2 linked regions of the Lytechinus pictus genome follow. Each later gene encodes a partner of the first gene's protein in a complex. Links are inferred from orthologs where the notes say so. Each region holds a gene or a part of one and is shown in the gene's direction. Other genes may lie near its edges.

What was found. The genes of interacting proteins can lie anywhere in the genome.
Region 2: ragulator complex protein LAMTOR4 homolog (region 1) and ragulator complex protein LAMTOR3-like share a complex: the UniProt entries of both Drosophila melanogaster proteins name them as parts of the ragulator complex. The link is inferred for Lytechinus pictus from reciprocal best matches to the Drosophila melanogaster genes Lamtor4 and Lamtor3.

Annotation. Positions count from the first base shown.
Region 1 is NC_087260.1:995,915-1,002,867, reverse strand, and holds the start of ragulator complex protein LAMTOR4 homolog, read left to right. Parts: upstream 1-3,940; 5' UTR 3,941-4,303; coding exon 4,304-4,306; intron 4,307-5,047; coding exon 5,048-5,131; intron 5,132-6,953. UniProt on the Drosophila melanogaster protein: Regulator of the TOR pathway, a signaling cascade that promotes cell growth in response to growth factors, energy levels, and amino acids. As part of the Ragulator complex, may activate the TOR signaling cascade in response to amino acids.
Region 2 is NC_087251.1:16,375,470-16,383,023, forward strand, and holds the start of ragulator complex protein LAMTOR3-like, read left to right. Parts: upstream 1-4,540; 5' UTR 4,541-4,748; coding exon 4,749-4,757; intron 4,758-6,570; coding exon 6,571-6,605; intron 6,606-7,139; coding exon 7,140-7,198; intron 7,199-7,554. UniProt on the Drosophila melanogaster protein: Regulator of the TOR pathway, a signaling cascade that promotes cell growth in response to growth factors, energy levels, and amino acids. As part of the Ragulator complex, may activate the TOR signaling cascade in response to amino acids.

The DNA of each region.
Region 1 (6,953 bases):
AAACTCAATTTTTGGAAACCATCTTGGATTTTTGGACACACCAAACAACTGGCTGTCCTTTTAACTTGTCCCGATGTACTACTTCAACATTCAAACCATTGAATAGAAACCAAATTAAAGCCATCTAATTAAGTTATAGATGAATTGTGGATCTTTTAGCCTACGGCAGCCATTTTGGGCGCCATCTTGGATTTTCCTGGCGCGGTAATATTCACTCTGACCTGTATCAATAAATTCGTTTACCCACTCGACCATGGAGTATGAATCGAATTAGGACTTTCGGGTGGATAATGAGTGAGTTATATCAATTTTCAGTGAATGGCGGCCATCTTGGACGCCATCTTAAAAATAACTACTTTGCCGTATGCGGATTTTGGTAGATTTTTAGTATGTTATTCCTGAGGGCAAATACTGCCAGAAACAGTTGAAAAATAATTTGTAGCAATTTGTTCCGGGTCCAACCATATATTGACCCGTCTAGAATGGATGAAATCCTTGACTTGTCTAGGGGTATTTTGGAGGTTTGCCAAATAACATCTTAGGGATAGGGCGAGGACTTTCTAGGTTATGCAGGCTTATAACACTGGGCTTGAAACCCCCTTTTATTAAGTCCACCCCCCGAAAAATCAAACAAGCATAACACCGAAAAATTAATCGCTTAAGTAAAACTTTAAAATATCATAACTTTCATATTTTACTTCTGATTTTGATAAAATTTTCAGCATATATTGTGTGGTTTTTCTCGATTCAAATAATCTTTTCCATGAGGTGGACTCGCCCTTTAAGAGTGTATCTCTCTCTCTCTCCCTCCGTCACATCGATCGACCCTCTTCAATTATCCTCTCCCCAGTTTGTTCATATAGGCAGCGGGGGGGGGGGGGGTCCTGTCCCCCCTAAATTTTAGGTTGGGGGCCGGACAGACCCCCCAAAATTTATGTTGATAACCTTTCTTGTTCTTTTTGCTTGTCAATTTTGTTTCCTGCGTCCCCCCTAAATTCAGGTGAACCCCCCTAAAATTGTTGTGGTCCGCCCTAAAATTCTGGTTGATAACCTTTTTTTTTTGCTTGTCAGATTATTTCTTTTGTTTTAATTGCATCCCTCCCTAAATTTGGGTTGATAACCTTTTTTTTTTGCTTGTCAGATTATTTTTCTTGTGTCACCCCAATAAATTTTTGGTTGATAACCCCCCTTTTTTTTGCTCCACCGAGACATTTTTTTTCTTTGAAGACATTCATCATCTCAAAATAAGTTCTGTGAAATTTCTGAAGTCTGTAAATCCGTTTCTGTAGCCTAATGTCTTTTTTACGTACTTTTAAGAAAAAAAAAAGTTCTTGGGAAAAATAATTAGATCTATTGTTGACGAGAAATATCACAAATTCACATGCAACAAGTTGCATTCAGTTAGCTCCTAACGTATAGTCCTACCCGGCCGTACATGTACCTATTAGCTTGTAAATTTTATTGTCCTTTAATTCAAAGGAAATTAACACAAATAAAAGATAAAATAATTTTCAGAATACCTTGTAGATCTAGTCCTTGACCGAAAAATCAGTCTATTTCGGTCACTAGGATCTGTGCTTCGCAAAAAATCATTTTTTTCAACTCCTCCGAAACGGCAGATTTCCAGTCTTTACTTAACTTAAGTCAAGTTTCAGAATACAGGCTAACACGGTCAGTATATTTTCGTGTCTCGTGATATTCTTCTGTCCAAACATGACTGATAAACTCATAAAACTTGGTGACAGTTATGAATATTAATAAACTGAATATTTATTTGAATCATGGTTTAATTTCATCACGCTTCCAGAGAAATCACAACAATCGATAACCCCCGGGCGATATACCCCCCCCCCCTGGAGTTTTAAAGTTTTGGAAACTTGCTCTGGTAATTTAGAATTACCACACATGTATTTGAGCACATGGGACTACATAAAGTCTACAACTATTCAGTTCACCAGCTTGTCTTAGCTGTGAAAAGTAATCCCCTTTTCTCTGTTTCCACGGTCGTCCCGATTAGTGCAATCATACGCGGCACAGGATGGCATCTTTAACTTTGTATCAGGTATAAATTCACATTAAAAAGTGCTGTAATAAGAGTTGATCTGGTAAGTATAATTAAGAATTGACACTATTGCCGTGAACCAGACTCTACTTCGATTTTGACTTTTTTGGGGGAACTCGGCGTGTGGGGAGGTAACAACTTCCGGTGCTTCAACACGGAATAGGCCATCCAATCAGCGTTATTGTTCCCATCCAGATAAGGGAGAGATCAGTGAGTTAGCCCAGTAAGAGGACCAGTTCGAGGACAGTCAGACCAGTAGAAAATACCAGTAAAGACCAGCTTGAATTGGATATGAAGACCAGTGCATGAGACCAGTAACAACCACCAGAAACAAGACCAGTATAAAATTCCAATAATTTAAGACCAGTTTAATTTTTAACTGGACCAGTAAAATTTCAACTGGATCAGTATGACCAGTTAGACCAGTAAACCGATGTTCCAATTTCCAGAGTACCAGTTAAAAATTTTACTGGTCTAACTGGTCCAGTGTAACTGGTTTTTCCTTCTGGGAAGTTAGTTTTGTGATAATATCTGTGTGATTTTGTGTATATTGTGTCAAATACTGGGAGCTTATTGCAATAAAGTTTGAATATATTTATTGGATCGAGGATTGTACCATTTCATCTTATAAATAAACCCCCGCTTCAACGTCAAACGCGCTCTCAGACGTAAAAAAAATATGCTGCCACAAACAAATCTTATCTAGATCTATAAATAAACACATTTTTACAGCATGGATAAATCTCAACAAAGGATTTTTATCAATACCATGAAACTAAAAGAAATGTTATCAAAATTACTGTCAACAATTTGAAAAGCAATTTGTTTTTATGAAACCCGTCCCTAGTATATCTCTATGCCCTAGCCCTATATAGGGGAAGATCGGACACTTCGTCGATTTTTGTACGCTCCCAAACGCCCGAAAAATGCTCCTGGGGAAGTATCACTGATCTCTCCATTAAGTTAGTGGAGAGATCAGTGGAAGTATGAGAGTTGAGTAAGTAAATCTTCGCATATCAAATATATGGGGGGAAATGAGAGAAGAGAGTTTGGAGAGGGCTCAATGGTGGCGCATGGGAATATTTCCACTTTTATTACCAAGAAACCTCTAAAATATATTCATCTCAAATTTAAGGTGGAAAAATTGAAGGAAAAAAAATTAAAATGTAAAAATCGTCTATTCTATTCCTTCATTTCTCTCACATGTTTTGTACACAACCATCTCGCGATACTCAAATTAAAAAAAGGTCATTAAGGCACACACCACTAACTATTTCCCCATAGACTCATGTGCTATATAAAAAAGAGATTTGAAAAAAAAAATCGCCAAAAATAATTAAGTCTTAATAATGACAGCATCCACACCTTTATCATTTGGTAGTTCATCCAATATCCTATTCCTTCAAACGCTAAAGATATGAAAAGGTGTTTTGCAGCATTTTTTCGCGCTACAGGGGCTCAAACCAAGACTACATGCATGCAAGGTTGCAGTCACAGTGCTCACAGGGTTTCTTGGGCAACTATTCAAGTTCCCATAAAATCCAGCATTGACAAATTACTTCTCTCCCATGGCACTGAAAAGATCCAGTAGTAATCCCCAGGGGCCGTGGAACCGGGGGGGGGGGGGAAGGCTTCAGCCCCCCACTTTTTTCCAAAACCGTATATACACAAACGTAAAAATTACCACATGATTGTGATTTTTAGCATGGTCTGCTTTTGGCTCAGCCCCCCCCCCCACTTTGAAAACCGTTCCGCGGCCCCTGATCCCTCTCTGTAGTCTGTACCCATGTGCAAAAAATTGTTCAGATATGCACCGTTGATTTTATATGAATATTTTTCAACCATTACGTCATGGTACGGGTTAAAAGGGGGATTCCCGAAATTGCCGGATCCCATGCGCCCATTACTAACTCAACGCTGTTGGGCGCTCTTCCTGAGCGTTTCCTGAGCGTTTCATTGCGCTCTTTACTGTCGATGTACGTCCAATCTTCCACTTGTAGTCACCTGACCAACTGTACCTGTAGGCTGTACCATATACCAGTACGGTACCGGTACAGCAAGCAGTATTGCCTTGTCGGAGTCTTGGTCATGTAACGGAAAGTCCAGTAGGCATTCTGTAAAACTGCATATTTATTCATTGAAATCTGATTTTCTGACGAGTATTCACATCAGCATCTATTTCAAGGGAGTATAATTTGACAACAGTTTTATTGAAATAAAGTGCGGACAAATATCAAAATCATGGTAAGTAATTTGAGCTTTGTCTAACCCGGAGCTGAGCTGTGACCTGGGGCTGGACTCGTCCGTGTAAATGTCTGTAGTGTACTATTAAGTACTGGTCTAGGCTAGTGCCCGCAACAACAATTGTCCATGGTAATGGCTCATGTATGTTAATTTAAAGTCAAAAGGAAACGTAATGAGACGATTGCTCCGCAAAGTGCAACAATTGCTCCACTGAAAACGATTGCTCCGCCGACATTTACTCCGCATGCCGCATATGTGACCATTACTCTGCCAACATTTGCTCAGTGGACATTATTTTAATCCGTAAAATGTGAAAAATGCTTCACAGACGTGACCGATGAAATTTGGATCTGGAACATTTTTGCACACCCAAAATGATTTTCAGTGTAAATTTTAGGCATTCGGCAAACATCGGGAAGGAGACATCTGTTCTGAGGAATTTTTAGACTTTTATTATTTTTTGTATCTTAAGGATGGGTGTGTCCAGTAAAAACTAAAACCAATTTTACATCACAATTTTTACTTAGTCAGCCTAGCATTGATGACACATAGTCATAGACAAACTGTGTATAAACTAGAATACCTTCATTCATCTAGGCTTGAGCAGATGATAATCATGATTATTTCTCATCTGGATTAAAAGCTGGCACTTACTAAGATAATTTTGTTTTCTTATACATGAATATGTTTGGCAAAATATCTCATTTTCATCCAATCTTTTCTATTTTCAATATTTCACAGAGTGGACCAGGACCTCATAATCTTGATAAAGTACCCAACCAGGAGGGATACCTAATCCTCAATGATAGTGGAGCAGTCATGGCTGTAAGAACCAAGAACTTCTGTAGTCTTTTCCACTATTCCTCCTCCCATACTTTCTCTATAGTGCCTTGGGCCCATTTCTGTATCCCATCCTCTTTTACTTTGGGATCTTTTTTTTTTATGTGAATAGTAAAAAGAAGAAATGCTAGTTTTGTAATCGCAATGTTGAGGGAAGTTTGCAGATGAGATTTTATGGTTTGGTCACAATTACCTAAAAAGAACTGTTTGCGTGAATAATGCAATGCTGTACTCTCAATTTATTACATTGATATTTTAAAATTACTGTAAATTATGCAGGCAAAAATATTCAATGTATTTAGCTAAAACAGCAACAAGGGATACCATACAAATGTTCTCAAACCTTTCTGTGAGATCTTCCGAAGAAGGCAGACCATTCATAGACTGTTCGTATTAAAGTTTGCAGCTTGGTCAGTGGTCTTGTCCAAGATTTTTTTTAAACGTTAAAGTATACATCCAAAGAAAATTCACGAAAGTGATGATTATAGACAAATTATATATGAATGGAAAGGTCTTGTCTTTTTATACACAAATATGTCACTAAAAAGTCTTATTGATGTCGTGGAAATGCAAGAAATGAAATTATTAGAGACCCTTCTCAGCCCCCCAGACCGCGATCAAATACAGTCGAGAATAATGACGTCACATGATGATCGACTCACTCAGCCGCTCTCTAGCTCTGTGCAAGCCAGCAGTACAGTGATAGCTGATTCACCTTCCTGGTCTCTATTTTTCTTTGAATTTACCGTTTTCTTCATGTATTGTGATATCCGAATTCTGTTTTCGACAACTTCAGACTATAAGGGAACCAGAACTGTGTTATTTTGCCCGGTTTTTATTGAATTCTGAACTGGAAAGATCGATTTTGTCCACTCGACAGTCTTCGTTGTGTTGCTCTACTAACTATTGAAAAACTCCAAGCTGCACGGTCCCATTCACTTGCTCCCGATGCATGTTGCAGGTTACGCTGTTTGATCCAGTCAAAAGTCAAGGTAAGCATGTTTGGAAACTGTACTTGTTCTGACGATGCATTCAGGTCAGATGACAGATACAGATCTGATATAAGTTTAGAATCATGCATTTTGGCGTATACTATTAAAATTAAAAAGTCTTTATTTTAGAAATAATGTTTTTGCACAATTCCAGCAGATTTTTTCTTCAGATTTCTAAAACTGGTCAGGACTCAGGCAGGCGATTAAATTAATTCAAATTATTTAGGAGCACTGGTATGGACCATGGCTGAAAATCTGCTGTTTCAGAGGAATGTTTAAGTTTTTATTATACACAGAATTATATCACCATGATGCCGATGTCATGAAGCCAGACAAATTTTCAGCAGTGATTACCCACCCAAGGGTTCATTACATGCCGCCGCGCACAGAAAAATCAAGCCATAGAAGTCGTGTGTTGTGGACCCAAGAAGTGAGATCCCAGCACGAGCGACCCACTAGTTAGAAATCCACTGCCAAACGCGGTTCGTGGTGCGAGGTTAGTATACTAATACTAACCTCGCAATACGTGTGAGTGGTGATTACCCTGATTCCTGGCCCAAATCACTCACACGTATTGCGAGGTTAGTATTAGTATACTAACCTCGCACCACGAACCGCGTTTGGCAGTGGATTTCTAACTAGTGGGTCGCGCGTGCTGGGATCTCACTTCTTGGGTCCACAACACACGACTTCTATGGCTTGAATTTTCTGTGCGCGGCGGCATGTAATGAACCCTTGGGTGGGCCAAAATTAGAGTCTGGTGTTTCTTTCTGATTAGAGTGTTGCTGCATATATGCATGCGTAATGCCTTCAAC
Region 2 (7,554 bases), on another chromosome or scaffold:
TAAATATGCTATACAGAAATCTTTACATATAGCGATAGATGTGTAGATCGGACCACAAGCGTTGGAATATAATTGTATAAGAGCTTAAAGGGCGATTGTTTCAATCCATATACTTCACTGAGGTTTCAATTCGAAATAAACCAATCCAATTTGGCAAAATTCAATCTCTACTCATGGTCTTTGTCAATTACCACACATTTAAAATGTTGGGCAACATACCGTCCACTATAGTTGGGTAATGTATGTCGGTAAAAAATAATTCTGAGCAATTATTATCCAATTGACCAAATTTATTACCAAATTATTAGTTTAATTACCCAATTTGGGCAGATTTTAACCAATAGTTGTGTGGACATGCAGGGTTGGTTAAAAGTTGGGCATTTTTTTGCCCAACTATTTTAAGAGTGCATGTATTTGTAAAAATCACGGTATTTGTACATTTAAATTATTGCATTATTTTTCTTTTATCTCTGGCTGTTTTGAAATTATTTTCATGCAGGGTTGGTTAAAAGTTGGGCATTTTTTGCCCAACTATTTTAATCGCTGATGTGGTTTACGGTACACCATGTGGAGTGTTATAGAAACAGTGGATAGTAGAAGAAAAGAAATGGATAGGCGAGAAAGTGGGAATTTGAGAGTAGAGTAATCTTTCTTGAATGTAGTCCTGAAAAAGACTGTAAACCAGTAGAGATTGATGATTTGAAAACAGCTTGAGTAGTAGGATGGATGAGGAGATGCTGGCTTGAGTCGACGAGTAGAGATGATGAGAAGAAGCAGTAGAGAGACTCGACGTTTCGGGAAGTCTCTGACAGTCAACCTGCCCGAAACGTCGAGTCTCTGACAGTCAACCTGCCCGATACGTCGAGTCTCTCTACTGCTTCTACTCATCATCTCTACTCGTCGACTCAAGCCAGCATCTCCTCATCCATCATACTACTCAAGCTGTTTTCAAATCATCAGTCTCTTCTGGTTTACAGTCCTTTCCAGGACTACATTCAAGAAAGATTACTCTACTCTCAAATTTTCACTTTCTCGCCTATCCATTTCTTTTCTTCTTCTATAACACTCCACATGGTGTACCGTAAACCACATCAGCGATTATGCCACCATGCAAACCTTCAAACAACATCCAACTATTTTAAGAGTGCATGTATTTGTAAAATCACGGTATTTGTACAATTAAATCATTGTATTATTTTTCTTTCATCTCTGGCTGTTTTGAAATTATTTTCTTTGCCCATTCGCAGACCCTTTTATACATGGGACAAATAACTTCTCACAGCATTCATCTTTATGTCAAAATCATTACCTTTTTGCCTAGAGGGCCTTCTTACTCGTATATTTCAAAATCATTGTGTGTCGCATCAAAATTTCATCCCCTAAAAGTTTATGGAAAAATACGCCATTGATATAACAATAATCCTGTGTTTCGGGTGAGAATTATTCCCTTTATGTATATAAGGAGGAACAACGGGGTTCAAGAAATGAACTTTTTGCTATCATTTATATTTTTAACAGTTTATCTTATGTTCACACTGAAAAAGTTCCCGGTTTTCAAACCACAAACGGAAAAGTGATATACTGAAAGGTGATGAGATCATCGATATGTTTATATATCGATGACTATATTGCCAAGATATAAACACTATAATCTTTACACCAGATGACTGCCAAACACGAAAGATGGTATACTGCATTTTCTTAAAACAAAGTTTGTTGAATTGTGTCGGGTAAAGTTCACAGAGATATTCGGTTCAAAACATTATTATTCATGCCGGTTCCAGTTGATCCGGCGACAATTGCTCCGATGGAAAATCTGCACTTTAAGCCAAACATGAAATCAAACCTCCAAAACTAAATATATTCTTATCCTTATCTTTACATTATTCTGAACCAAATACTCTATTACAATCCTTGTAGCCCAAACCATATGCCCTCTGAGATATTAAGACCGGTGCAAATGTCGTGTACGTCATGCACCTGCAGCCATATAATGAGGGCTTCCCAAAACCGGACAGAAGACTAGACCATTTTATGTGACTTGAGATTGATACTTTCTGTATGCAATTGTAACATATTTGATTATCTCATTGTCAAAACATTAAAAAATGAGTTAGTGAAATTTAATGAATCATATTTTTAATTCCATGAAGAAAGATACGAGATCTTGGATGGGAGACACACAAAACTCACCAATATTGTTGACAGAAGTTATTACTCCCAAACAGCCCTAGCTTCTATTAATAAAATCTGACCCCCCCCCCCCAAAAAAAAAAAAAAAAAAAAAAAAAAAATATTCAAAAAAAAAGAAGAAATGATTGAGTTTTCGAGCTCTCTCCAAAACAGAAATAGGTGGCTGACAGTGTCAGTAACAGAATGGGGTTATAAATGATAGGAAAGTAATTTTGGCAAATATTGAGGACAGTTCATACGCCCCCCCCCCCCTGTTAACCAAAATAGTACTTTCGTCTTGTACTTCATTTTGACAAATTGAAAAATATGTGACATTTATCCGCTTTCTTTATTCACATTTCATGTTGTTGCATTTAATACTATTTGTGTTATTTGTGGCTTTATGGGGACATTTTAACCTTAAACCTATAAAAGAATCAAATCCGCATCGCCTTTGCATTGTTTTCCCCATTTCCGTGGTGTCTCCAAAGAGGAAATTGAGAATGTCTGCCTGGACAAAAGAAAATCTGCACAACGAAAAAAAAAAATCAATTTGATCATACAATCATACGAAACTACACTCATTGCCTTTTAGGGACTCAGAATTCACTTTATTGCCCTGATGATAAATCTCACTGACACAAATGAATTGTTCATAATTATTTCAACAACAAAAAAAACATAAAAATTCACACACTGAAAAAAATGGAAGGATACAATACATTTTCTCTGGTTCATGTCGATTACTCCCCCCCCCCCTTTTGTGTGATTTTGTCATTACGTGATCCTATATAAAAAAATTGTATTATAATAAAATTCTGCATTTCCACTTTTTTGTTAAGAATCATAACGAAAGTTAATAACTTTCATCGAGGATCTTTTTTCGCTAATAAAGGGAAAGAAAGGTTAATATAGGCTATATTCATTACAAAAATGATCAATGTATGATGATAAAGACCTATCAGTCCTTTCTAAAGAAAGATGGCGCTAGAGTCACAAAATAATATACATGTACATGCTCATTTCACTGATGTAATATCATGTCTCAATATCAGGTATGTATATGATAATCAGCGTATATAGAGCTTGAAGAAATTTGTTGAAAATTAAAACGCAGACGTTCAGTTGTAAGACAGGAGCTCTGAAATATGGTCAAGATATGATTCACTTGACTGGAGATACGTGCCTTTGTATTTCTATAACTGAAATACCCAAAAGGATTCAACCTTCGTCTGATTAAAATGCAACATAAAGTATTACAGGTTCTCTAGTCTAGTTAAACACATTTACTTAAAATGAAAAATGTCCCATTTGGGTTTATAACAATTTACTCCAAGTTATTTGGCCTAAACTCAGTCAATGTTGCTTCCTTGCTTTAACTATTATCATTTATATATCTGCTAGGATCGAAAGCTTAGGCCCCTTTTGACTTTCTAATTTACTCCATTGGCTCTCTTTTATTAGATAAGCAGTTTTTAGCAGCTTCTTTTTGCCATTTATATATCTCGTACAATGAGACCTGAAATAAGTGGAGATCGGAGAGGAACACCTTAACACCCGCTTTACCTTAGTTCTAGTCATTACTTATTGTCCCCTATTGAATTTCTCATATAGAGAAATAACCAAAGAAAATTATGCTACATTCTAAAGATCCAAAACAACAAGATTTTCTAGGCTATCCAACGTCACGGTGGGGATAAACGTATGTAGTGTTTGCACTAATGAGTCAACAAATTCAGACTATAAAAATGGACGCACATATTTAATATAAGAATAAAAAATAAAATTGGTTTACTGCCATTTGATCTTCCAATTATAAAAAAGCAATTTATGCAATAACAATCGAACTGTTGAACAAGTATTTAATGAGTTGTAAATTACGCTCTTACATAACATTATTTGTTATTATCGCTTTTTGAGGCCTTTTTTTATCGAGCATTGCACACTGGCGGTGAATGATTTGCCAGTATTGGGATGCATATGTAAAAGAAAAATAAATAGATAATGAAAAAAAAACTGTGTGGATCTTCGTTAAAAATCTCAGTGGCGGATTATATAGGACTTTGTGGTTGACGCGCAGATGTTTGCTACAAAGATGAAATAAAGGCAGTGCACATAATGGTGGGATTCCCTCCCCTCCAGTTAAAGCGTGTAAAATTGTATGATCATCCCTGTATTTTCATGCTACTCTGAAAAAAAAAAATATAATGTACAGACTATTGGAGAGTCAAAGATTTACTAATTCTAATATCTGAAATCGTTTTACGTAACAAAATTTATATCAAATTATATCCTGGCACTTTTTTTTTCTTTTTTTTGCCAAACTTTCAAAGCCGAGGAAAATAAAAGTAAAAAGTTACGTGGCTTTGTTGCAGACTATACAGCAGAGATCACGAGACTCACGACTGAAGCTGAAGTAGTGAAAGAGGTATTGTGGAGTCAGAAAGTAAAATTCGATGTCTAATTTTAAGTTATGAAATGAAATAATATTGACACATAAGTGAATACTTAATGTTAATCGAGCAGTGCTTCGAAAATTTGTGAGAATCGACGAATAAAGCTTGGCAGACGTGAAGATGGTTGAGGTGAGTAATCATTTTCCATACAAATAGTAAAATACGTGGGACTGTAATATAAATCGTCGCAGAGCGTACATTGATATATTCAGTCATTAACATTTGTCTGTCTTCTGATAATATGACAATTTCATCAAAATCTGAGAATCATATAAGAGTAGAGTTAGAATAATTCATTCGGCCAAATTCTGTATTATGCTCAGCGGCCTTAAGGCTTAAATCCACCAGACCTACTGAATATCTTGTGAACTTTTAAAAAATATAGATGATAATAGATCTAGCCTAGCCCTAGACCTAGTTGATTCTAGATTCTAGTCCAGAAATCTAGATCAAACATTCACGATTCTCGTTTATTAACGTTAGCCCAGATATCGGCCATTGCGCTCGTATGTTGGAACTTTGACTGGCGCTTAGCTACAGCATCTAAAAGGGGAAGCTTGATCACCCTCCTTGATTACTGCTTAATTCCCTCTTGTAAGTTGTATTATGTGCATGGGCAAAAAGGTGCGCAGTAAAACAAAAGAGCAAATAATATTGAAGCTTACCACCTTTCCAAATTGGTATATAACGTTATGGAAAATACAGAATTTTTATGACAAACATGCAGGATCAGCCGGGGTTTTCTTTGTTTGCCATCATGTTTGTAATATGTAATGAGGATCGTCCCTGTATGGTAGTGGATCGTATTACCGAACACTTTTCATGAATTCAATCATATCAAACACACTATTCTCATAAAATTCACCAAACTTTCACCATGAATACACAATTACCTACAAAATATAAATATGTAAAAATTTGGCCGAAATCGTTTTTCCTATTTACGATATTAGCTTCCAATCGGACCCCTCTTCGCATGTGAAATATTTTGGTCACTTGAAAAAGGTATCGTATTACCGAACGTGTGTTTTCTATGGGAAAAGTTGAGAAAACAACCAAAACAACAAAGTCACTGATGCGCTATTTTGACCATATCTTATTGTTTTTCGAATATTAAGACTTTGAAATTGTGTTTTTGACAATTTTTCATCATCTTTCTATTCAAGTTCTCTTTGAAAGGATGTTGCAAATTTTTGAGCATATGGAATTATTTTCTGATGCGTATGATGCGCACGTTCGGTAATACAAGGCCGGTCGGTAATACAATCACTCACTATACATATAGACGTTGTTTTACACTACAGGTATTGTCTTTTTTACAATGATTTCTCCACATAAGAAATCTAGAAAGTTCATTCACCTGCCAAGTGTCATCATGTGGTCGTCATTAATCAAGAGTGATAGACAATATAAACTTATCAGGTTTATAACAAGATTATTTAGTAAAAAATAGACGGTGAACTGTGGGAACGGAGGTCACAGAATCTATTTTTAGCACTCAAATTCCCTAATACTGTATGTCCTACAGGCGGAAGTGAAAACAAAAACTGTCTTCAGTAATAAGGACAACCTCATTTTATCGAGACATGATTGATGTTTGTTTATGAGGATATCCTTGTTTTCTGGGATGACACCTCTAATGCACCAAATACAGAGGCTTCAGGTTTAATTTAAACTCTTGTCTAAAGCTGTGGTTTAGCAAATTGTGACAGGAATCTTTAAAAGTACCTGTACAGGTATAATTGATATATCAGTTACTCTGATTATTCATAACTGCGTTAATATGCATAGCGGGACATAGTAATTTATATAAATTAGGAACTGAAAATTGTAGCACTTGATCACAATTTGAAAGTTTGTACAACTATGAAAACAGCTTCTATTTCAAAAGTTTAAACATGGTTCCATTTAAAATTGTTTCAAATGTTATTTTTGGTTGCAGCAACTGAAGAGATATTTGTGGAGTCTTTTGCAAATGTGAGTATTCAAATACTGTTTCATAAACATTATTTTGATTTTTTTGTAATCGGGGTTGGTCTTTAATGGGAGTGGTAGATTTTCAAGTGATCAAGGGCAAAAAGTGTAAAGATGGGGAGGATGTAAAGAAAAAAATGCATTGTTGATGAGATGATTTGCATCTATGAGATGTCTTGTATCTTTCTTTCATTCAATATTGATTAAAACTTTTTGAATTGCAAAAATATCCAATATTCCTTCACCTTTCTATAAAAATATTGCATTTATTTACAGACTAAAATGGCATGCTAGACTAAGGGTCTAGAGCAAAGTCCTCCACATCAACATGAATGCAGCCTCTCAACTCATTCTTTATGACCAATATTTGTATGTCAGTATATGATAAAGATGAAATACATGTCCTTCTCATAAGTGAATGATGATTGGTAGCAAAATATTTGAAATGAATAATTTTTTAATTTATCCCAAGTCTTTCTATTTACCAATGTCAAATTTTGAAAGATGATTTCATATTTCTGTCTGAATCATATTCAGGGTTGAAGGGCTAGAAGCCATAGTAATTACAGATAGAGATGGTGTCCCTGTTATTAAAGGTAAGTCCTACTGCGTTCAGTTTTTAATATATTTTGGGTTGAAAATGCCTTGGCAATTGGCAAAGTTTTATGTGGTTCAAACTTTTTTTCTTCTTCTACATGTAGCTTTAAAAGCAGAATCTACGGCCAATTAAAATTGATATTAATTAAAAAAAAATTTTTTTAAAGCGCTAAAAATTAAAGTATGAAAATGAGAATGGCGGCAGATCAAGATGGGGTGCAAGAGACATACAAGCACTATTTATTTTATATTCATATTATGATACTGATTGTTTATTATCAAATATCACTAATCCGTAATTGTGTAAAGTTTATACAAAAGTCTTTTGGTTGAATTGTAAGAAAGAAAATAGCTG